3 linked regions of the Ovis aries genome follow. The protein of the gene in region 1 interacts with the protein of each later gene in a pairwise test. Links are inferred from orthologs where the notes say so. Each region holds a gene or a part of one and is shown in the gene's direction. Other genes may lie near its edges. The genes, in order: KHDRBS3, INPP5D and BAHD1.

What was found.
Region 2: the proteins of KHDRBS3 (region 1) and INPP5D interact in binary tests that used the Homo sapiens proteins (3 or more experiments, as listed by UniProt). The two-hybrid records come from large-scale screens. The link is inferred for Ovis aries from reciprocal best matches to the Homo sapiens genes KHDRBS3 and INPP5D.
Region 3: the proteins of KHDRBS3 (region 1) and BAHD1 interact in binary tests that used the Homo sapiens proteins (3 or more experiments, as listed by UniProt). The two-hybrid records come from large-scale screens. The link is inferred for Ovis aries from reciprocal best matches to the Homo sapiens genes KHDRBS3 and BAHD1.

The regions. Positions count from the first base shown.
Region 1 is NC_056062.1:19,608,847-19,613,167, reverse strand, and holds the start of KHDRBS3 (KH domain-containing, RNA-binding, signal transduction-associated protein 3), read left to right. Parts: upstream 1-1,486; 5' UTR 1,487-1,940; coding exon 1,941-2,028; intron 2,029-4,321. UniProt on the Homo sapiens protein: RNA-binding protein that plays a role in the regulation of alternative splicing and influences mRNA splice site selection and exon inclusion. Binds preferentially to the 5'-[AU]UAAA-3' motif in vitro.
Region 2 is NC_056054.1:7,901,897-7,905,925, reverse strand, and holds the start of INPP5D (phosphatidylinositol 3,4,5-trisphosphate 5-phosphatase 1), read left to right. Parts: upstream 1-1,178; 5' UTR 1,179-1,341; coding exon 1,342-1,475; intron 1,476-4,029. UniProt on the Homo sapiens protein: Phosphatidylinositol (PtdIns) phosphatase that specifically hydrolyzes the 5-phosphate of phosphatidylinositol-3,4,5-trisphosphate (PtdIns(3,4,5)P3) to produce PtdIns(3,4)P2, thereby negatively regulating the PI3K (phosphoinositide 3-kinase) pathways.
Region 3 is NC_056060.1:34,276,691-34,280,079, forward strand, and holds the end of BAHD1 (bromo adjacent homology domain-containing 1 protein), read left to right. Parts: intron 1-149; coding exon 150-250; intron 251-719; coding exon 720-909; 3' UTR 910-2,885; downstream 2,886-3,389.

The DNA.
Region 1 (4,321 bases):
TTGAGAATGAAGGAAGTTCACACTTCGGGCTGGGACCTAGAGCAGCGTAGAGCTCCTTGATTCCCGCCCCAAGCATCTCTGGGTATAGTGTGTGCTCAGTCACTAAATCGTGTCCCACCTGATGCTTTGCGATCTCACGGACTGAAAGAATACTGGAGTGGGTTGTCATTTCTTTCTCCAAGGCATCGTCCCAACCCAGGAATTGAACCCTGAATCTCCTGCCTTGGCAGGTGGATTCTTCCTCCCATGCCATCAGGGAGGCCCCCCTTGGGTGTTGTCACCTCTATTTGCATCAAGAGTACAGCCAGTTGCCTGGGGGCTTGGGAGGAAGACCTGCTCCCAGAGGAGTGGCATGTCTATGGCTTATTCCTTCATCACACATTTCTGGTGCCCCTACACCCGTCCTAGGCCACTAGGTGCTGGGGATCCTTCCCCATAAAAGAAAGCTCTAGCCCTGTCTGTGAGGTGCTCATGGTCTGGGGAAAACAGAATCAGAGTTCTCCGTGAGTGAGGCCTGACCAGCGCTGGTGGGACACAGAACAGGTACCACTTTGTTGGGGAAGTCCTGGAAGGCTGTCCAAGAACAGGGACGTAGAGGCCCGGACTTGAGGTGGGATATGATGGGGCAAAGGCAGGACAGACTCGGAGTCTTCGGGCCCCGCCACTGACTCTACCTGGGATATCTGAAAACGGTCCGATGGAGGATTTGTCGAGGTGGGTGGCTGTGCGTAAACGAAAGGAGGACGGCAGCACCCACGTGCGTCCAGGGGACTGCGCCCCAGAGGGGACGGGCTGCGGCTCCCTGCCCCGCCTCCGGACTCGGCGGATTTCTGCGCGAAGAGAATGACAACCCGGCGGCAAGCGGAATGACAAAGCCGACCTGAAGGGCACGCGCTTTTATGTAATCGACCTCGGTTCCAAGGGTCTCACGGGTTGGCGCTGAGCGCAAGAGGCACCCACCGAGGCAGGACGGCTGGGCGCCCACGTTATTTCCTAGCAAACAGGAGCAGGGGAGGCAAAGCGAGCTAAGTTATGGAAGTCCAGGGAGCTTGAGAGCAGGGCAGCTCGCCCCGCCGCCCTTTCCCAGAGCCCGCGGCGGCGAGCCCGGGTGCTCCTCGGCGTCCTTCTCCGCCCGGCCCCTGAGCCGAGCGCGCAGCCCTCCTCCCGGGATCGCTCGCTGGGTGACCTTGGGCGAGCCGCTTGACCTCTCTGGGCGCAGTTGCCCGGGTTCTGCGTCTCGGCCCGCCGTGGCCGAGCCGCGCGGCGCTCCGCGCACGCCTCCCAGGGAGCTGCGGACCGGCGCGGCGCCGGCGGGAGGCCCCCGGGACGCCCCTCCCGGGCTCGGTCGCGTAGCCGGGAGCGGCCCCACCAGGCGGCGCGCCGCAGCGGGCGGCGGGCGGCAGGGCGCGGGGCACAGTGCGCAGGCGCGGCGGGCGGGGCGGGGCCGGGCGCGGCGGGCGGGGCCGGGCGCTCGGCTCCGCGGCTCAGAGAGCGCGGGGCGGCGCGCGGCGTGCGGGTCGCTGCTGAGCTCCGCGCCGGCGCCGGCTGGCGGGGCTCGCCGGGGACTGTGTCCAGTTCGCGGAGCGCGCCGCCGGCTCGGCCGGAGGGCCGCCTGATCGCTCCGGCCCGTGGCGGGAGCGCGGAGCCCGCGTCTGGGAGGCGGCGGCCGCCAGCGCGGGGCCGTCGGCGGCCAACCCCCGGGGACCAGGGCTGCGCGGCCGGTTCCCGCCCCGCGCCGCCGCCGCCGCCACCGCCTCCGCCGCCGCCGCCGTCCCCGGGCCGACTGCTCGGCTTGGCTCCGCCGCGCCCCGCGCCGCCCCACCGCGGCGTCCGGCCCGGGTTCCGCGCCGCTGGGGCGCGGGCGGGGTCGGGGGTTGCGGGGCCGCCGCCGCCGCCCGCCCGCCTGGAGTCCGCGTCCCGGGCCCGGGCGGCCGGCGAGCATGGAGGAGAAGTACCTGCCGGAGCTGATGGCGGAGAAAGACTCCCTGGACCCATCCTTCACGCACGCCCTGCGGCTGGTGAACCAAGGTGAGGGCGCGCGCCGGCCGGCTGGCCGACCGACCGACCGACCGTTAACGGTCGCCCACGGCCGTTGGGGACCCGGGAGCGGCGGGCTGGGGGGAGGGGTGGGGGGCTGGAGACTGGGGGGCGTCGGGCCCGGGGGCGAGGCGCAGGTGTTGGGGGGTGCGGAGCCGTGGCAGCGAGCTGGCCGTCGACCTCGGGGCGACCGGAGGGGACCCAGGTCGCAATCTGGCGGGGGGCGCTGATTCGGGTGGGGATGTGGGACACCTAGGGGAAGCCGGAGTGTTGTGTGCGCGTTGTGGGGAGACGCGGGAAGGGAGGCAGGCTGGGCGTTTGGATGCGACTTGAAGGGAATCTGTGGGGGACTCGAGGGTACCCCAGGGAAACTTGCGGGTGGGGCACCACGAGCATCTGGGGGCTTCGTTGGGGCGGGGGTTGAATGAGCTCATTGGAGGGGAGAATGGGGCGGTGGGGGGCACCAGGGAACTAGTTGCGTTTGGTTAGAGAGCTGGAGAAAGAACTCGAGGAAAATGGAAGGATTCGAGGGGATCGGAAGCAGAAGAGGTGAAGGGAACAGGTGCTTGGATTGTTGGTGAAGTTTGAGGACCTCGGAAGAGGTTTGGGGTCAGAACCCCCGGCACGTTGGAGGAGCAGGGCCCGCTTTCCCGGTTCCCTCTTCATTCCTCTCTCTCTCTCTCTCTCTCTCTCTCTTTCTCTTTCTCTCGCGGGTCCGGGCTCTCGCCGCCCTCCCCGCGGGTGGGCAGCTCACACCTAGCCTTGCAGGCCGGCCCTTGGAGAGTCATCGGGGGGCGGGAAGAGACCCACGCAGGAGAGTCTGCTTCTTGACTTGCCTGTCCTCTCTCTGGGAGGCTCTGGGTGGGTCACCCTCACTGGGGGCCGGCTCGGGGTTGAGAACACTGGCCAAGGAGCCTTTGCTGCTTGTGCCATTTTAGCGCGCCTCGGGCCAGCTCAGGGCGTGAGCCGCCCCGGGAAGTACCGGACGCGGGGTGCCCCGGCGTACGGAGGCGTGCCCGCCCAGGACGGCGTTCCCTGGCTTGTTCCTTCTCCAGCTTCCCGAGTAATCTGCCGGGATGGACGGTAAATGAAGCCCGCCTTCCCCAGAGCGATGTCCTTCATCCCCTCCTGGATCTGGAATGCGTGTTTCAGATAAAGATGGGTTTGGGAGCCGTTGGTATGCTTTTTCTCTGGGTGATGGCACAGACCATCCGGCAGAGGTTATCCCGTCAGATCTGTTACCTTTTGCACGAATCACTGTGCCTTGAGGGTCTGTGGTTCCCGACTCAGCCGGGTCTGCTGATCTTCATGCTGACCCTGGCTTTTTGATTGTTGAAAGTGGAAGATGAGGCAGACATATTCTATTTGAATATAGGTGTCTATATTTTACAATAGCGACCTCCGGTATTTGCCTATTGCAACCCGTTCTTCCTAGTAGGGTGTGTGTGTGGTCGAGTGAGGGTCTTGGTGGAGGGACTGACTGTCTGCAAGAATTTAAGCTTGGTATTTAATTTGTTGAACAGAGATGGGTTCACTGAGCTTTCCCATTTTAATTGTAGGCTTATTTTTATTTCTTTAATAAAACGGGCTTGTGAAAAAGTAATGGCTATGCGTTGCAGAAAGCGAATTTTAAGTTTTATTGCCATGCTCTTGTGAACAGTTGGGTTTGTACTCCTCTCTCTTTGTGATTTACATATATCTTTTGTTGCCTGCTGGGCTGTCATCTCTATGAAAGAAATTTCTTTGTACGTTGTGTGAGATCATTGGCATTAGAAATATTCTGGATTGTGGAATGAAGTGTATTTTTCTGAATAAAGAAGCTGAGTCAAAGTTAGGTTGTACTCAATTAAAGAAGCAGTTTTAACAAAAGTGTAGTAAGTTATCTTATTTTGAAAGTCAGAACTAATTTTCTGTGCCAGGTTGCTGTGGCATTCATTTTGCTAATACATTTGGAATTCTTTTGGTTTCTTTGTTTTTACCTGTGGTAATTGCTTCCAATTATTTGAAACAGATCTTGGGCAATGTTGCCATTTAGTTGTTTTTTTTTTTTAGGTGTTAAACCTGATTACCTTACTTTTTCATCAAAAATGTAATTCTTGCAAGAGGTACATTTCTTACATTGAACAGTTAGGGAAGTAACTTATTCAGATATTCTTATTACTGTTAATTTAGATTTCTTCAGACTGAAATGTTTTCCCCTTAAATCACAGGCTGCTTTCTGGAATGCAGAGCTCTATCATTTAAAATATTAATTATGCTGTTACGTAACTCCAGAATTACAAGT
Region 2 (4,029 bases), on another chromosome or scaffold:
GCAGAGGACCCGATTCGAGTTGGGGCTTGCCTGGCCCTGGTGCCTGGATGCGGCTTCTTCTGTTATGTCACGGGGCTGGCTGAGGGCTGAGACAGGACCAGGGGTCTTGTGCAATAGGTCGGCACCTGCCCCTTCACCCTGGGGCACTGACCCAAGCACTAAGGGCTCCCCGTCTGGGGTCCAAGCATGGTGCCCACTTCAGAGCCCTCAGAGCCTGCTGATCCTGGATGGTGGTCCCCACCTCCCCAAAGGCAGCCCTCACTTTGAGCTGTGGACCAAGGTAACCATGCCTGGCCACCTCTACCTCCAACTCCAACTCTACCTGAGATGTGGGACTCAGGAAGGAACGCCATCCTTGCCAGGTGGCCAACTTGCCCCAGGGATAGGGGGACATGCGTGAGTGTCCCAAGTGTCCCAGAAAGTTCCAGAGGTGTCAACCTGCAAAAGGTCCATGTCCCGAGAGTCCTCCCAGCTCCCTCTGCGTGTCCCTAAGCTGGGCTACAGGGGTCAGGCACATGTGCTGCCCTGGAGAAGGGCTGCCACGGGCTCCCACATACCCGCCGGCCCCCACAATGGGTATAAAAGTGTTGCAGAGCTGGCCCCGGGGAGCTCCCGGGTGGTGTCGCCCAAGGTCTTCCCAGCTCCCAGGGCTGAAAGGTGCCCAGGTGTGTCTCAGTATGAGTAGGGGGCTCGGCTGGTACCCACCTCGGCGGGGGTAGTGGGGCAGGCCTCAGCCCCAGTTGAGAAGCCCGACCCTGTGAGCCTCCGACCTGCGGGCATGTCAGAGGGAGTGGACAGGGAGGTGGAAAGCTCAGGGGTAGGGCAGAGGGCTGGGGTGGGCGTCCTCGGCGTGGCAGCCCCACTCGGGGCATCGGGTCATGGGTCCCAGAATGGCCAACCCTTGGGCCTCACTCCTTCAGAGGCTGGCCCTGAGCCTCCTGACGCCAGAGGAGCTGATAGATTCCCCTAGGAGGACTCGAGCTGATATTCCCCATGCCAGGGACCAAGACCCATTAAAGAAGGGAGCCGGGGGTGGGGGACACGGCAGGGCTGGGGGTGGTGGTGAGAGGGAGGGGCAGCAGGCCGTGAGGGGGGAGGTGGAGGACTGTCTTGCTTGGGCTCTGCAATGAGGAAGTTCTCTGCAGCTCAGCTTCCTTTCCCTTGCCGAGTGCCTGAAACAGGAAGTCGGCCAGTGAGCGGTGGCGGCGGCAGCAGCAGCTGGGGCGACTGAGAGGGAACCCACGGGGGTCCAGCGCAGGAGCGCCCAGCTCCCCCGTCGGCGCGGTGTCCGGTCCAGTGGTGAGGCCGCCGGGCCCGGCCCCGGGGACACCCGCGCCCGCCATGGTCCCCTGCTGGAACCATGGCAACATCACCCGCTCCAAGGCAGAGGAGCTGCTCTCCAGGACGGGCAAGGATGGGAGCTTCCTCGTGCGTGCCAGCGAGTCCATCTCCCGGGCCTACGCCCTCTGTGTGCTGTGAGTACCCGACCTGCCCACCCCGGCCCGGCCTGGCAGCGGAGGTGATGGAGGTGCCGCTTGTGCACAGGGCAAGCTGGCTCGGGGCACGTTGGGGCCCCTGCCCTGGGTTGGGGTTGTTTCTGTGTCCAGCGACCTTGCGCTTCCCAAGTTTGTTAGTGGGTCCAGCTGAGGCCCGTCGGGGGACCTGCTTGGCCCTGGAGTTGGGGTTTTGAGAGCAGGAGCCCTCCAGGGCTAGCCTGGGATCTGGGCCACACACCCCAGCGACCAGCAAGCAGCAGGGCCAGGGGCTTCCTTGAGGTTCCAGGGACCAAGGGGGTGGGGGGCGGGTTGTCCAGGGCCTGTGAGCCGGGCGGAAACTCAGGGCTCCGTGGTGGTGGGAGTGTTAGAAAGCAGCTGGGTCAGTTCAGGTGTTGGTCAAAGATGCCCAGTTGGGAAACCCTCCTGGAAGAACAGAAGTGGGAAGCGGGAACCCTTCCTGTGCCAGAGTATGGGCCTTTGGAGGAAGCTGTTGTCTGGGGAGCTGTGAAGACGGGGAGTCGCTCAAGAAAGGATCAGAGGCTGTATCTGGGGCCCTGGGAACAGAGCAAGTCATGTTACCTACAGCAGGAGCCACTTCTCACCCGTCCAAGGCCCTCAGCCGTGTCCCCGCCTTTTGAGGCCTGTCGGCCACCGTCGACTGCCCCCCCCCCGCCCCCAGCTCTGGGATGCTGCTGAATGCACCAGTTGTCCTAAAACTGGGGAACCGGCCACTTGCTGACGGTTCCTTTTTGTAACACCCTTCTCCACCAATGTCTGAGAGAGGCCCTTGGCCCTGCCACTCTGCCACCCTGCGGTCTAACCATGCCCGCTGGGGCCTCGGGCATGATGGGGGAAGGGCACGTTCACCTGCACTGCTGAGGTAGCACCCCTGGGCTTGCGGAAGGGTCCCTCTGAGCAGGCAGACCCTACCACCATCCATGCAGGAGGGAAATGGGTCATGGACCACAGACTGTATTTGGAGCTTGTTGAGTTTGAGCATTTGTCTGTGTATCAACCTATTTCAACCTCGTGAAAATCTGAAGTGCAGGTCCTTTTGTTGGCCGCTTTTGCAGATGAGGAAATTGAGGCTCAGACGAGTTAACCGAGCGATGACAAAGTCAACAATGTCCGTCCCCAGAGGCTGCACCCAGGCAGACAGATGGCTGCCACCCCAGTCCTGTACCTGTCAAGCCGGTGTGAGCCTGGGTTCCAGTGGCAGCGAGAGAAGCCAGGGTGTTTACCGGGGTCAACTGGGAGTGTTTAGAAATTAACCCAGGCTTTTAGCCGGCCACCTGGCCCAAGGTCTGACTGCATCAGAGCCTCGCCCTCCCGAGGCCAGCTTCTTGAGCCCCCAGTTCTCACACCCGGGGTGGGGGGAAAGGGAAGCAGACCCAGTCTTCCCCACAGGCACAGCCCCTCTGTAGAGACAGGGCGTAGAGACAGTGGGGACATCCTGCTCTGTCTCCCCTCAGCCCACGTGCAGCTCTCCCCTCCCCGCAGAGACCTCGGGAGCTTCCAGGCTCCAGCTCACTAACCTTCACAGCACCCCCTTGACCAGGGAGCTGTGGTCAGGCTCAGGCTATAGATTGGAACGTGGGTCTCTGACTCTAAACTGGGAGCCTTGTGCCAGCCAGAGACAGAGCTAGGAAAAGCCATGAAACCTCTAGGCCCACCGCCCCTGACTTTGCAAGTGGGCAGACCTCAGAGAGCTTGAGGCCTCTGTCCACGCCGCCCTGCTGTGTGTGTGTGTGTTAGTTGCTCAGTGGTGTCCGACTCTTTGCGACCCCATGGACTGTATACCTGTCAGGTTCCTCTGGGATTTCCCAGGCAAGAATACTGGAGTGGGTTGCCATTCCCTTCTCCAGGGGATCTTTCTGAGCCAGGGATCGAACCCAGGTCTCCTGCTTTACAGGCGGATTCTTAAGCGTGGGGGCCACCAGGGGAGCCCCCACGCTGCTGGGCTGGCTGGTGGCAAACTGGGACCCCAGAGGGTGTGTGGCACCCGTTCCTCTCTTTTGCGTCTTCTTCCCTCCCCTCCCTGGTGCTGAGTTACTCTTGGAGCCTTGGCGACTGTGCGGGGTCTGCCTCCTCGGGAGGGTATCCGTGGCCCACACCCCACCCCATATCCACCATCCTCTGAGTCCAGGGCTGGGTTTCTTGTCAGTCTCCCAGCCCCAAGGCCCCTTTAGCTCCAGACAGCAGGCCTTGCAGCCCTCCCCAGGGAGCCCAGCCATGAGGCCAGGCACTAACTCCAGGCCCAGGGCTCCCCTCTCCCCTTGGCTCTGTGGGGGGAAGTCAGCTTCCCACAGGGGCAGGAACCCCTGTAGGATGTGGGATACCACGAACCGCCGAACTTTCCAAAACCCTGGGAGACCTCCTTTTGCCACCACCTTTAATGTTGCCAATTAAAGAGATTTAAAAACGAAAACCTAGCTAAGTGATATCTAACTGCCACCTTTTAGCCGTTCATTTCATGAAAGCATCCTTTAACGGCACCGAAAAGGCAGGAAAAACGTGCTCTTAAAAAACAAAA
Region 3 (3,389 bases), on another chromosome or scaffold:
AAATTCCAGGAAAGCTCCTTGGCTTCCTGGGCGCTAGCTGGAGTTAATCTATTTTGGGTCAGGAGTCCCAGCAGAGTTCATGTCCATCTTGCTCTTGGAGTTAGGTGCTTCCCACCCTGGTAGCCAACCTCCTTCTGTCTCCCCTTGAGCCTTTGCAGAATGAAGTTTTTGCATCGCGACATCAAGACCAGAACAGTGTAGCCTGCATCGAAGAGAAGTGCTACGTGCTGACCTTTGCCGAGTACTGCAGGTGGGTGGCGCCCTGTACCCCTGGCTTGCCTCTCCCCTCAGACTCCCCAGACTATTCGTGGGTTGCCTGTGATCCCCAAGGGGATTTGACTCATTGGACCTGACCTCCTAGAACTTTTTTCCAGTCTGCTTCCATCATCTGATTTTTATAGGAAAAAAAATAAAATCGTTCCCCTTTTGAGGCAGAGTGAATTGGGACAGAGTTTCAGGGTTGGGGATGGTTACAGTACTGCTGTCAGAAGGCAATCAAGGAGAACTGGCAGGTGTTTGGTAGGGAGGTTCAGTAGGTGTGGGTCCCCAGGGACCAAGAAGATGGAGTGGTGGTTGGCAGAGAGGGCATAAGCCCCAGGACAGGAATGGAGGCAGCAGCTGCCCTTGGGGAGGCTGGAGGGGATGTCCAGCTCTCTGGGCAGGGTGGGGAAGGAACTGGTCTTCCTGCTAAGACAGCTGTGAATGGTGTGTCACTGCAGATTCTGTGCCATGGCCAAGCGCCGGGGCGAGGGGCTTCCCAGCCGAAAGACAGCACTGGTGCCCCCATCTGCGGACTACTCCACCCCGCCACACCGCACAGTGCCCGAGGACACGGACCCTGAGCTGGTGTTTCTTTGCCGCCATGTTTATGACTTCCGCCATGGCCGCATCCTCAAGAACCCCCAGTAGCCTCCTCACACCCATGCTGGGGCTGCCCACGGGCAAATGGGGCTCAGGGCAGGGGGCACTGCTTGAAGCACAGCACTTGGTTAAGGGGCCACAGGAGCTCAAGGTGGCTGGCCTGTGGTTCTCTTGTGGGGGAGGGCAGGGGCCCCTGTGGGATTGGGCCCCATGGGAGGGAAGGGGAGGTCAGGGTATAACAAAAGCATCAGAACCCTCAGCTTGGCCCAGGGTGCCTCTCTGGGGTCCACGGGCAGAGGCTCCTAAAGAAGCAGTCTTCCCTGAGGCTGGGCCAAGCCTGAGGGGCATGGGCCCTGGAGGGACTGGGGGAAGGTCCTTCAGGAACCATGCCCTTCTTGATCCTCCCCTGGGCCCTTCAAGGGGGCATGGGAGCCAGCTTTACCTCACCCACTGTGACCCGCTGCCTCCCCATTAGCCTGGGACCAGGCTCTCCCAGATTCTAGCACAGCTCGGAGCCCATTCCTTTGAGGCCTGGAGAGCCAGTGTCTGGCTCCCAGAGCATTGACTTTCTCTTCCTGGACTTGGGGCCTTTCTCTGGCATTCCTCCTTTGCCCTTGCAGTAGCCCTTGGTGCTGGGACAAGTTACCAGCCCTCACAGTCATGGGTGTGGCCCCCTCGTGGGAGTCAGCTTCCTGTCCACCTCCTGGTGAAGGCCACCCAGCAGGTCTGGCTTCCCAGAAGTTAACTGATTAACACGGGCTTTGTCATGTCTGGGAGAGCAGAAGAGAGCTGGGAGGGGGTGGGGGCAGGGGGCAAGGAAAATTGCTACCTGATTTATTGAAGACTTCTCCTCTTGCCTTACACTTGGAGGTTCTAGGAAACCTCTTGCAGAACTTCACACATGACTCTTCAAGCCACACCCACCTGAAATCAAACCAAAGGAGTGCTGTGGCTCTCTTTGCCCCTGACACCCCTTTCCCTAGTCTTTTGTAGATTGCACTAATTTACATCCCAGCAAGAATCAACACTGTATCAGTCCACAGACCTGCTGAGCTGCAGCCACTCACTCTAGGAGCTAAGGACCTGCATTTTTAGTTTGTTCCTCTTGCCAAGGGGCCCTGTTGTCACCTCATGCCACTCCCCAGAGTAGATTAGGAGGCTCAGCCCCCTGCTGTCCTTGCCAGGAGTAGGCCCTGGCCCTGGGGCACTCTGTGGGGCTGGAGCAGCCTGGTTCTTTCCTATTTGTACCAAAGAGGAGCCTGACGGGAAGAGGGAGTGTGGCTTGGGCCTGGTGTTGGGCGCATGCTCAGCAATTCTGCAGGGTACCACCTTGGGGACAGGAGCCAAGCAGGGCAGGACTGGGTCCCCCTCCCCTAGAGAGGGGCAGACAGACCCCACAGGCTGAGGAGGTTGCAGTGGGTGAGGACAGTTGGGCAGGAGCTGGAGAGGCAGGTGGAAGCAAACCCTGAGGGCACACCCAGCAGTCCCCAGCCCTGCCCTGTCCCTGCGCAGACGGCTCCTCCTGGACCATTCAGAGGTGAATTCACACATGGGAAACCCAATCTCAAACCCCAAGGGAAGAAACTTGGGTCCCTTCTTACTGAATAAGCTGTTTGGAGGAAGACATCAGTCAAGGAGGGTGGGGCAGTAAGAGAGGGTGGCAGAGTGAGAGCTGCTAAGGAGCCCAGCCTCACCCAGCAGGAGGAGGTCAGGCCTCCTCCAGGGAGGTGGGGTCCATTGCCCAGAACTTAAATGCTTTTGAAATCTCTTAGATGTGGAAATATTTTTTGAACCTGAAAATGCAGCTGGTAGAATTTCAGTGGAAGCATAATTCATGTAAAATATATTTTAGTTGATATTTTGTAAAATGCACTTTTTGTGTGTGTCGACCCTGGTTTCTCAGATCTGTATTTCAGTGTTTACAAGGGAGGGAGGGCCTTTCCTCACCTCCCTTTTGACAGAGATTAGAAGTACTTCTTTAAGAAAAAAATAAATTTGAGACATTGTATTGATTTAGAAAAGGACCATTTTCTGCGTGTCCTGTCATCTTTTTGTGTGTGGGCTCACACCTCTTTATTTTGGAGGGGCTCCTTAACTATTGCAGTGCAAGGACTCACTGAGGCCAGTAAGCCAAGAGCACAGGAAAGAGGAGGGCGGGTGGAGAGCAGCAGCAGGAGAGGACACAGAGGGAATGGCAACTTGGAGTTGATTTCTTCGCATCGTGGTAGCTGAAGCCACCTGCCTGGGCTGAGGGAAATCCTCGGGTCACCAGTTCTTACCTGGCTGGTGACCTGGGAACTCACCTCCAATTGGTTGCATGGTGAAGATACTATTTCATCACCTTCAGTCATGCCCCTGGAGAACTGGTCAGCAGAAACTGAGGGCCTTGGCATCTTGCACCTGTCACTCACGAGGAATTGAAGGCCACATCATGAGGCAGGGACTCAAACCTGGACCATTGGTTCAGTCAATCCAGCCCTCGCCCCAAAGCCTCAGTGTTGACTGTGTCCAAGGTGGGACGTCGTCTA